2 linked regions of the Canis lupus familiaris genome follow. The protein of the gene in region 1 interacts with the protein of each later gene in a pairwise test. Links are inferred from orthologs where the notes say so. Each region holds a gene or a part of one and is shown in the gene's direction. Other genes may lie near its edges.

Evidence for each region.
Region 2: the proteins of NUFIP2 (region 1) and FBLN5 interact in binary tests that used the Homo sapiens proteins (3 or more experiments, as listed by UniProt). The link is inferred for Canis lupus familiaris from reciprocal best matches to the Homo sapiens genes NUFIP2 and FBLN5.

What each region holds. Positions count from the first base shown.
Region 1 is NC_049230.1:43,371,592-43,377,503, reverse strand, and holds part of NUFIP2 (nuclear fragile X mental retardation-interacting protein 2), read left to right. Parts: coding exon 1-1,688; intron 1,689-5,912. UniProt on the Homo sapiens protein: Binds RNA.
Region 2 is NC_049229.1:1,288,437-1,294,348, reverse strand, and holds part of FBLN5 (fibulin-5), read left to right. Parts: intron 1-1,422; coding exon 1,423-1,477; intron 1,478-3,371; coding exon 3,372-3,423; intron 3,424-5,912. UniProt on the Homo sapiens protein: Essential for elastic fiber formation, is involved in the assembly of continuous elastin (ELN) polymer and promotes the interaction of microfibrils and ELN. Stabilizes and organizes elastic fibers in the skin, lung and vasculature.

The sequences.
Region 1 (5,912 bases):
AGAAATATCTTTAAAGAGCCTGGGTTCTGATGAAGCTACCAACCCTATTTCCAGGGTGCTCAATGGCAACCAACAAATTGTAGACACTAATTTGAAGCAGACTGTAAAGGCCAGCACCTTTGGGAAAGCAGGAATTAAAACCAGGAATTTCATTCAGAAAAACAGTATGGACAAAAAGAATGGGAAGTCTTATGAAAATAAATCTGGAGAGAACCAGTCTGTAGACAAGACCGATACTGTAGCAATTCCAAATGGTGTTGTAACAAATAATTCTGGCTATATTACTAATGGTTATATGGGCAAAGGAGCAGATAATGATGGTAGTGGATCTGAGAGCGGATATACCACTCCTAAAAAAAGGAAAGCTAGGCGCAATAGTGCCAAGGGTTGTGAAAACCTTAATTTAGTGCAGGACAAAATAATGCAACAAGAGACCAGTGTCCCAAACTTAAAACAGGGACTTGAAAATTTCAAGCCTGACTACAGTGAACAAAAGGGAAATCGAGTAGATGGTTCAAAGCCCATTTGGAAGTATGAAACTGGGCCTGGAGGAACAAATCGAGGAAAACCTGCTGTGGGGGATATGCTACGGAAAAGCTCTGATATTAAACCTGGTGTGAGCAGCAAAAAGTTTGATGATCGGCCCAAAGGAAAGCATGCTTCCGCTGTTACCTCCAAAGAGGACTCGTGGACCCTATTTAAACCACCTCCAGTTTTTCCAGTGGACAATAGCAGTGCTAAAATAGTTCCTAAAATAAGTTATGCAAGCAAAGTTAAGGAAAACCTCAACAAAACTGTACAGAATTCCTCTGTGTCACCATCTTCATCTTCATCTTCTTCGTCTACTGGGGAAACCCAGACCCAATCTTCAAGTCGGTTATCCCAGGTCCCTATGTCAGCGCTGAAATCTGTTACTTCGGCCAACTTTTCTAATGGGCCTGTTTTAGCAGGGACTGATGCAAGTGTATATTCTCCAGGGGGTCAGCCACTGCTAACTACTGCTGCTAATACTCTAACACCCGTCTCTTCTGGGACTGATTCAGTTCTCCAGGACATGAGTCTGACTTCAGCAGCTGTTGAACAAATTAAATCTAGCCTTTTTGTCTATCCTTCAAATATGCAAACTGTGCTATTGAGCACAGCACAAGTGGATCTACCCTCTCAGACAGATCAGCAAAATCTGGGGGATATCTTCCAGAATCAGTGGGGTTTATCATTTATAAATGAGCCCAGTGCTGGCCCTGAGACTGTTCTTGGGAAGTCATCAGATCATAAAGTGATGGAGGTGACATTTCAAGGGGAATATCCTGCCACTTTGGTTTCACAGGGTGCTGAAATAATCCCCTCAGGAACTGAGCATCCTGTGTTTCCCAAGGCTTATGAGCTGGAAAAACGGACTAGTCCTCAAGTTCTGAGTAGCATTCTAAAATCTGGGACTACTAGTGAGAGTGGAGCCTTATCCTTGGAACCCAGTCATATAGGTGACCTGCAAAAAGCAGACACCAGTAGTCAAGGTGCTTTAGTGTTTCTCTCAAAGGACTATGAGATAGAAAATCAAAATCCTCTGGTGTCTCCTACGAACACTTTGTTAGGCTCCGCCAAAGAACAGAGATACCAGAGAGGCCTAGAAAGAAATGATAGCTGGGGTTCTTTTGACCTGAGGGCTGCTATTGTATATCACACTAAAGGTAATTCATTTGTTTTTATATAAAGATTCTTACATAAATTTAATAAGCATTTATTAACTGGTGTATTAAGGGTAAATTTTGGAAGTTTTTATGAGATTTTTTAAGAATTTGGGAACTAAGTTGAGAACAGTGGATAAGCAGTAGATAAATTAATTCAGGGTCTTTGGAAATAGTACTATTTAGAAGGAATGTTCACTTTCAACTTCAAAATGTTTATATATTCACACAAACACAAAAGTACTTGACTTCCTATACCTGCTTCAAAGAATGAAGAGGGATGGGTTGGTGCCCAGAGGGATGACATATTTTCTCATGAGTTCTTTTTAAAAATTTTCTTTGAACAGATGTTTCCTCTCCTTTGCTTTTTATATCATGTACTTCTTTATTAGTGAGCTCACTTGATAGTTCTAATTTGTATAAAATGAGTAGGAGCAGTGTTTTTGAGGAGGAGTCCAGAAAGATGGAGTGTCAAACTATTTCTTCTCTTCCAAGAAGGAATAATGCGTGCTAAGTGGTAACTGGAAAATAATTTTGACAATTGCAATGGCAGGCTCAATTAGCAATGTAGGAACCAGGCTCTTGGGGTCTGTACTTTTCATAGCCCCAAAGCCTCTGTTAAAAAAGGAATCATATCTTTCAAGTTCCATGCTCATAACTTTAGAATATGGTTTATTTGTGTCTTTTTTTTTTTTTTTTTTTAATTAAAGTTTATTTCAGAGAGAGTGAGTATGGAGAGGGGCAGAGGGAGAGGGACACGGTCAGACTCCCTGCTGAGCCGGGAATCTGACATGGGGCTCAGTCCCAGGACCCTGAGATTAACCCACTGAGCCATCCAGGCAGCCCTTTGTGTCTTAAAGAAAAATTTACTGTATGGTATAAACTTATTTAAATCCCTACAGCAAATAATGAGTCTTAGTGAATGATGTTTATAACCTTGGTACTTTTGAGAATGGTGGTTTTTTCAGTCTTCCACTTCGGTCTTCCCCTAGTCCCCTAACAGAAATTTATACCCCATGCATGCATATGCACACCTCAGATATGCTGCACATTCCCATTTTTAACTGGCTCATTTAGGCAGAGACTTGGAGCTGCTGGGAAGGGGCAGCATATCAGATAGTGGGGATGAGGTAATTCCCATATTCTCCCTGGAAGGATCACTGCCTCAGAGATGAATAACAAAGCTATTTATGTGACTTTTAAGCAGATTGCCTCCTCTGCATACCTTTCCTTATCTGCAAACTGGAAGACATTAGTAAAATGAACAGATGTCCTTTTCTATTTTTCTTCCTTTAGAAAATGGGAGTAAGTAGTAGTATTACCTTATGGGAGTTTAGGAGTAGAAATCCTGGCAGATAAAATTACCTGTCTGTACTTTTTTTCTCCAGCACTGCTGTTGGGAAGTAAATAAATTAATTAGGAAGTGGATGTTTTTAGGAAAGTTAGGACAAAAAAAATTACTTATTTTCTTAAGACTTGTAGTTAATTATAAGTTGGTTCTGCTGGGGGAGTTGGTGTTTTTGGTGATATTTTCTGTGCTATCTGCCCACCAGAGACCACTACTGGGAAAATCTTTACCTGAATATTTTGTATGGGTAATTAGGAACCTGAAGGAATATCTGGTTACGTTCTTCCACAACCTGCAAAAAAGTTTGGGACAAGATGTTCCATGAAGTGGTTGTTGGCTGGTGTTTTTATATGTTTTTATTACGGAGAATTGTAAGCCTTTTTAAATGGGAGTAATAACTCCTATTTATTTATAGGTATTCTGTATGCATTTTTCCTATAGTGACACTAATTAGATCTGAAATTAGTGGTATTTAAATAAGCTAAATGCCCCTACCTGGATGCAGTTATATTTAGTTTTGCTGATATTACTGAAAGATTTGCTTTAGTAAAGTGCATCAATTTGAGTTTCGTAGTTGGGTATTATTGAGATTTAATTGGTATTGATTGTTTTTTCCCCCCCTAACAATGGTTAATGTTCAGTTCAGTTAGTTCCCAAAGTGGCAAGTTCTTTGAATTCCTGCCAAATGTGGATTGGTTCATTAGGTCACTAATTTCTCTTTTCTGTGAGTTTGTTTTGAACCACAACCTTTTCAAGATCTGAAGAACTTTCTCATAAGTGAAGGCTGGCCTTTTTTTTTTTTTTTTTTTTTTTTTGAGTTGTTTTAAACTCTAAAGGAGGTAATAATCAGTTGGGCTTATTAGACTATCCTTTAAAAGAGCACTTGTATTTTCTTGGTCCTTTAGTGAAGTCTTCTCTTTAAATGTTCAAAAGCAGTCACTTAGTGAGTTAAAGTTAGGCTCAGAAATAGAGGTTTTTATGCATACCTCCTTACTTTAAAAGTAAGCTCCTCAACAACTTTATTTGGAAATAGTAGATAAGAGAGTGCTTAGTGTCAGTTGAGCAGGAATGGTGCATTTTTTAGATTAAACATTAATTACTTGCAGCCTTAGAAATACTGCAGATCCTTTGAAAATCTGAATATTCAGTACATTTGACGATAGGAAATAAAGATACTATGAGGCATAAAAAAGGGATTGGTGGGAAATCTAGTTCTTGGGATTTTTCTTTCAGCTTTTGATATATATTATGCTATTAATTTTTCTTAAGAAATGGGAGGGTTAATCTTTTTATTATCTAGGGGAATATTGTACCATTACATAGCAGTATTAATATTTATGGTGAGATGTAAGTCCTATTTTCTATTTCTCTCAAATGGCACTTAAGGGGCATTTATTACCTTAAAGTAATAGCTTTTTAAATTAACTATGAAAAAATTGATACTCAAAAGTGGAACCTATAATGAACCTCAATGTACCCATTGTCCAGCCAGAACATTTAGAAAGTATTCATTCTTGTTTAACCTATCTACCTTCGCACTTTATTTGGTAGGAATTTCAAAAGCAAATTCCAGGTATCCTAACATTTTGCTAGTTGATACTTTGGTTATGTTTGAGTGATAGCTTTTAATGCACCTACCCAGGACATAGAACTGTTACCTCCTTTAAAGCATTTACTTTTCAAAGGCTTGTAACACTAGACTCAACTTTTTGAGGTGAATCTTTGGTTTTGAAATGGTCATTTGAAGTCATTTGATTCAAAAAGTCCTTTGAAGACAAATCTGTTGAAATAAGGTAGGTTGATGTGAGTCGTGTGTTTGGTCAGTGTTCATTTAAACCAGGTTGATTTATCTTGCCTAACTAATACTGCACGGAACTTCATCAAGTATTCAGTGCTGATATTTTGGAGTATTTATTAAAAAATAATTTAATATGGTAAATTTTACCCAGTATGTAGAGATGCAAGGGAGGATGAATAAAATAAGAGAGAGGGCAGCCTGGGTGGCTCAGAGGTTTGGCGCCGTCTTCGGCCCAGGGCATGATCCTGGAGACCGGGATCGAGTCCCATATCGGGCTCCCTACATGGAGCCTGCTTCTCCCTCTGCTTGTGTCTCTGTCTCTCTCTCTCTCTCACATAAATAAATAAAATCTTTAAAAAAAATAAAATAAGATAGAATTCTTGATGGTTGACGTGGATCAACATGACAGTTACCTAGTAAAAAATATCCTTGAGGGAACACTAGGCTTTAGTATGAAACTTTAAGAACTTGTTTCTGTGTTACTTCTATAGGTTATTAGCATAAATGACTTGAGGCACTAGATGTGGGCTATACTCCGGATAAAAATGTAGTGGTTCTCATTGCCAGCTAGGATTGGGAACTCTTGAGTCTTAGAGAGCTTTCCTCAGTTTAATCCTACTTTTCTGTTTTCTGCCAGAGTTGTGCAGTAATATACGTGTGTGTGTAGTGTATGTTTTCCTTTCCCTTATAATATAGGCAAAGTACTTTGCTTAGTTATATAAGACTTTGGCAGGGTGTGTCTTTTTCTTTGAAGAACTTAATTAAGTAGAGGAGAAAACAATACACAAGTTTATAAGGATTTTTTAAAGGTCATATGGATCAAAATAGGGGATTTTAGTGGAAGAAATTTTTTTTTAATTTTTTAAAAAAATTTTTATTTGTTTATGATAGTCACACAGAGAGAGAGAGAGAGAGGCAGAGACACAGGCAGAGGGAGAAGCAGGCTCCATGCACCGGGAGCCCGATGTGGGATTCGATCCCCAGTCTCCAGGATCACGCCCTGGGCCAAAGGCAGGCGCCAAACCGCTGCGCCACCCAGGGATCCCTGGAAGAATTTTTAATGGAGTAAAGGTGGGAAGAG
Region 2 (5,912 bases), on another chromosome or scaffold:
GTCTCCAGGACTCTTCTCATCTTGCAAAACTGAGACTCCGTCCTTGCGAAGCACTGCCTCCCCCCGCCCCACCCCCATTCTTCCTTCCCCTGTGCCCCCCGCGTCCCCGTCCAACTCTCTCTAGGCCTTTAGCTGTTCATGGCCCTCAGGTAAACACACTTGGAGGGTATTTATCCTTCTGCTGGGGGGGTCGTGTCCCGAGCTCCCTGTCCCCCCATCCCCGGGGCTGTCCCTGGGGTGGCCTGGCTCCCGCCGCCGCAAATCCCCTCCTTGGTAAGCCGACGAATATTCCGAATATTCCGCTCACCCACCCCTCCGCCTGGGGACCCTGGGGTTGCTTTCAGCTTCGGGCTGTTGTGAATGACTCTGCTGTAAACCCGGGTGTGTGGATACCCCGTCAGGGCCCCGCTTGCACTTCGTCTGCGTGTTCTCCAGGGCGTGGAATTGCTGGAGCCTATGGTACATGCAGTTTTAATTTCCCGGGCGGCTACCACCCAGCTGCACCATCAGACTTCCCCACCGACTGCGCACAGGCTTCCAGTGGCTTCACATCCTTTCCAACGTGTGCTGTTTTCTGCTTTTTTTAAAGAAAATATTTTATTTCTTTATTATATACAGAGAGAGGACAAGCAGGGTAAGCAGCAGAGGGAGTGGGAGAGGCAGGCTCCCTGTGGGGAGCCCGATGTGGGACTCATCCCAAGAACCCGGGGTCATGCCCTGAGCTGAAGGCAGACGCTTCACCGCTGAGCCCCACCCCCACCCCCGGGCCCCTGTTTCTGCTCTTTTGATTATAAGCCATGCTGACAGATGTAAGGTGGCATCTACACTGAGAGGTTAAGGCATATTGGCCACCACGATTTTGTTGGATGGAAGCTCGTGGGTGCCGAAGCCTGGGAGGTGCAGGCTCGGGGAGGTTGGGGGCGGCGGGCCTGCGGGCAGCTCTGGGCTTAGGGGACTTCCCGCCGACCCCCGTGTGCCCCAGGGCTCGAGTGCTTCACGTGGGTGCCTGCCTCCTCCCTCGAGGGTGCTGTGGGCTTGGTCACTCCTGAATCCGTTTCAGGAAAAAGACGTTCCAACCTCAGGCAAATCTTGTGTGAGAGGTAGAGACGGCGCAGTCGGTCAGTACATTGGTCATGCCACAGGGGTGGGTTTCAGACTTTCTCTTTGAAGCAGCAAAACCTTTTACCTAAAAAAGAAAAGTCATCTTACACATTATCCCAACACTCGAAACCAATAGAAGAGGCGTGGTTTTGTTTGGGGCGATCGGGGGCATCTGGAGCCTGCTGACCTGGCCCCCCCATAAATACACAGGGTGGAGTCCCCATTGCAGGATCATGGGCAGCGTGAGACCCATGTTTGTTCCCAGACCTGGATTCTGGAACGATCATGGGTATTTATGTATCAACTTCTTGCTCCCCGCAGGATTCTCACCGTTACCATTCTGGCTGTCTGTCTTCTGAGCCCTGGGAAGGCACAGGTATGATTTTGACTTTGTTTATTATCTAGAAGCATGTTAAATATCGGAATGAGGGTGTCCAGCCCTGCGTTTTGGAATCCCAGGGTGGGGGGGGGGCAGAGGGGGCGCCACAGCTCACCTGAGCTGAGCTCCACCCCTGCATGCAGGGGGCAGCCAGGCTCTGAGAGGCGGTTGCCTGCCCCTGGTGACAACGTCGTCGTCTTTAAGTGGCAGGGCTGTGACTTGAGGCCTCTGATCCCTAATCTGAGACTGGGAATGGGATCCGCTGCCTCCGTGATGTCTTTCAGGTCTTGATTCACAGTCAGTGTTGAGAAGTCAGAGGTGCTGTGGTGCTTGGGGGCGGCGGTGCCCTTCGTGCACGTGGCCCATGTGGGACTGTGTCTCCATAGACGCGCATCCCCAGCGGGATGGGGGTCCTGCGTCTGGGCCAAGCCCCTGGCAGGAGTGTGGAGGGCTGGTGGGGGGGAGGCTCAGGTGGGGGCCCGGACTTTACGAAGCCATGTCTATGTTAGCCTTGGGGGCTGTGGGTACATCCCTCCTGAAAACTCAGAGCGGCCTCTAACTCTAGCTCAGAAATGAGTGAGGCCTCACCACGGAGCAGGGCTAAGGGTGGGGGAGTATATTTTTTTCACTTCAAATTACGAATTTCAAAATAGATTCAGGCTATTAGGGATAGACAGGGTCTTGGAGGGGCCTTGGAGTTTGGTGGTCCAGCCTCACGGTGACAGACGGTGACATCCAGGCCCAGGGAGGACAGGGTCCTGGGCTGCACGGTGCATGTTAGGCCCTTTGCAAACATTGACACTTGGAACCGCCTGGAAGGAGGCACTGTCACCCCCATTCACGGGTGAGGAGATAAAGGCAGAGGAAGTTGTAGGTGAGAGGCTGATGCCGGGCAGGCTGGTGGCTTTGAGCCCTCACTGGCGCTTAGTGGGTAAGCCAGTCCCGGACATCCGTCTCGCGGTTTCCCGAGCTTTATGGCACAGCCTCCTGGCTCATAGCTCCCTTTCTTTTGCCCTGAGGCCCTGAGGCCCTGAGCCTCCAGAGCCCTCCCATGAATACAGGCTGACTCCATCATCTCCAAGCACCAGCCCATGGCCCTGGGAAGCCAAGCCCTGGGAGCTGCAGGGAGGGCCAGGGAGGGGATCCCCATGGTCAGAAGCATTCCTTCTCCACCTCGCCTCCGAGATCTGTCGGCCCCATGACATTTTTCTGAGGCCGTAAAGCTGTGCCTTGAGGTGCACGTGAAGACCACGACCCTTGGGGACTGTTGAGGCCTATTTCTGGAAGCATCTTTGTGTGGTTGTTGTGCCGAGATGCAAGTAGAGGGGTTTCCCCAAGTCGGCTTTTCTTACCAAACCCACCACTTTGCTGTGTGTACAGCTTTCAGGGTGGAGGGTGCAGGGAGGGGATGTCACAGCAGGCAGGGTGCTCACCACAGTCCCTGACAAGGGGTCACATAGCACCTGGGGTAAGAGTGATCGCCCTTAACCGCAGTTGTAGCCATTCTTGGAAAGAGATGAATACAGATGTGCCTCATCACCATGCAGACCAAGTGTGGTTACTGCCCTTCATAGCTACAGTGGGAGATAGCCCCCAAATCTGCTACAATTGGGGGTTTTGAAGCAATGACGTGGGGGGCGGGGGTTAAAGAGTGATGCTCAGTGTACAATGATGATAAAAAATACTAAGAAGAATGGGGGTAAATAGGCCTTATAATAGGTGTTGGTGTTACAGATGCTTTTTTTTTTTTTCCTTTACTTCATTTCTGGAACTTTCTGTGATATCCTTGTAATACTTTTATATTAAAAAAACAAAAACAAAAACAAAAAACAAACAAAAAAAAAACGAAGGACTACAAGCTCACCTCTGTCTCCTTTCTCCTTGCCTGCAGCAACAATGCACTAATGGCTTCGATCTGGACCGCTCGTCAGGACAGTGTTTAGGTACGGGGCCTCCGAGGATCCTGCGCTGGGGTGGGGGATGTTTGGTGATAGACCCGATGACAGGGCCATGTCTGTCTCGGCCGTTGCTCGACATAATGAAATCTGTGTTGGCCTGGATCGTGGAAGAAAACAGGGCCACAGAAGGTGTCAAGAATGGCCTTTGGTCAATCACCTCCTTTGTGGGCAGTCCTGCGAGGGGGCAGGAAGGGCCACACGGATCCGTGTCCCCGGGGCTCTCCGCATTCGCTTCCTATCTGCTGTAACCAATGGCCACAGATGTAGTGGTTTAAACAACAAAAATGTATCTCCCAGCTCAGTGATCTATGGATCATTATCTATGTTATTGGTAGGTCGGAGGTTGTATGGGGGTCTCCCAGGCAAACATGGAGGTCCAGCAAGGCTTTGCTCCTTTCGAGGAGCTCTCGGGGAGACTCCTTGTCCCTGCTCACTGGTGGTGTTGGTAGAATCCACTTCCTTTTTTTGGAAACATTGAGATACAATGGACACACCACGTTGTGTGAGCTCAAGGTGTAGGTAGGACTCATTGGTGTGACACGCGTACGTATCACGGTGATCGCTGCCGCAGCCCCTGCTGCAGCTCCGTCACACCACATAGTCACCTTTCTTTTCTTATGGTGAGAACATGTGAGATCTGCTCTCTTAGCAGTTTCCAAGTGTGTCAGCGACCCTCACGGTGCTGTACCAGCACGCACGCAACTTATAACCGAGACTTTGTTCCCCTCACCAGCCTCTCCCAGACCCCAGCCCTTGTCAGCCACCCTTTTACTCACGATTGTTATGAGTTTGGCTTTTTTGATTCCACATATAAGGGAGGTCGTACAGGATTTGTTTTCCTGCGCCTGGCTTATCTCATTTAGCGTAACACCCTCGAGGTCCATCCATGGTGTTGGAAATGGCAGGACTTCCTTCTCTCTCTCTCATGGCTGAAAATGCCCACTGAGTGTGCATGTGTATGAATATGTGTGTGTGCGTGTGTACCTTGATATAAACACATCTTCACCCACCTTATCCATTCCTCTGCTGATGTACACGTTGGTGGCTTCCACGTCTTGGCTCTTGTGAACTGCCCTGCAGGGAGCATGGGAGTGCAGGTGTCTCTTTGAGGTTCTGCTCTCATTTCCTTCAGATAAGTACCCAAAATTGGGATTGCTGGACCATATGGTGGTCCTATTTTTAACTTTTTGAGAAACCTCCAGATCCCTCTCTGTAGTGGCTGCACCAGTTTGCATTCCCGTGGCATTTCCCACAGTTGCAGGACTGGAGCCCCCAGGTCCTTGCTGGCTGTCAGTAGAGGTCTTTCCCTCCTCATCCCCTGCCTCGTGGTCCCCTCCTCCATCTTCAGAGCCACCACTGTGGGTTAAGTCCCTCACAGGCTCTGGATCTCTTCTTTTCCCGTTGTCACATCTCTCTGACTGACCCTTCTTGCCTCTTCTTCTGCTTTTAAGGACTTCTGTGATGACACTGGGCCCACTCATGTAATCCCCCCACATCTCAAGGTCAGCCGGGTAGCAGCTTAAATTCCACCTGCTACCTCATTTTCCTTTACTGAGTAGCCTGATGCTGCCACCAGTTCCGAGGATGAGGACTGACATTTGGGGGCTATTCTCCTAGTACGTCATCTGGTGGAAAAGGTAGACCTGGACAGAGAGAACACCGTATGTGCTGGAATAACAATCATTGCCAAGTTAAGGCCAGAGCCATGGGCCCTACAGAAGTAGGGGAGGCAGTGATGTCTTATGTCAGGGGTCAATAAAAAAAGCCTTCATGGAGGCCACATTTGAATCTAGTATTTTTTTTAATGTTTTATTTATCAGATGAGAAACATAGGCAGAGACATAGGCAGAGGGAGGTCCTGGATCCCCGGACCCCGGAGTCATGTCCTGAGCCACTCAGGTGCCCCTGAATTGAGAACTGAGGGATGAGTAGGATCCTGAGAAATGGCATCCCAAGTGGAAGAAACAGCAGAAGTGAAGACCGGGGTGGAAAGGACACTGCGAGTACAGAATAGTTTGCTGTGGCTGGAGCATAGCTCCTCTACCAGGACAATAAGGCAGCCCCACTTGCTCCCACCTGGGGGGTGTATTTAGCTTTTTGATTATATTTGATGGAAGCCAGGGGCTGTGTCTTCCTGGAGCTCACGTCAGCTAAGACCCAGAGGAGAGACACATGGTTCCCAAAAGTGATGAGTGGTGAGGAACAACACAACCCTGCTGTGGAAAACCTGGGTGTGCACTTTGATTAGAGGCACTGGGAGACGGGGGTGCGCCAGGGGCAGAGAGGGGGGCAGCGGGCCATTGTTTTCTGTCCCACCGGCCTTCTGGAGGGCCTCAGGCTTACGGCTGCAGATGGGGCACCTGAGCCTCAGCATTTCCCTTTCCTGGTGGGCCTTCGTGTGCATTTCTTTGGAGGGGCTGCTTGGGGTGAGCCATCGGGCTTCCGACATGTGTCCCCCAGGCGCTGGCCCCTGT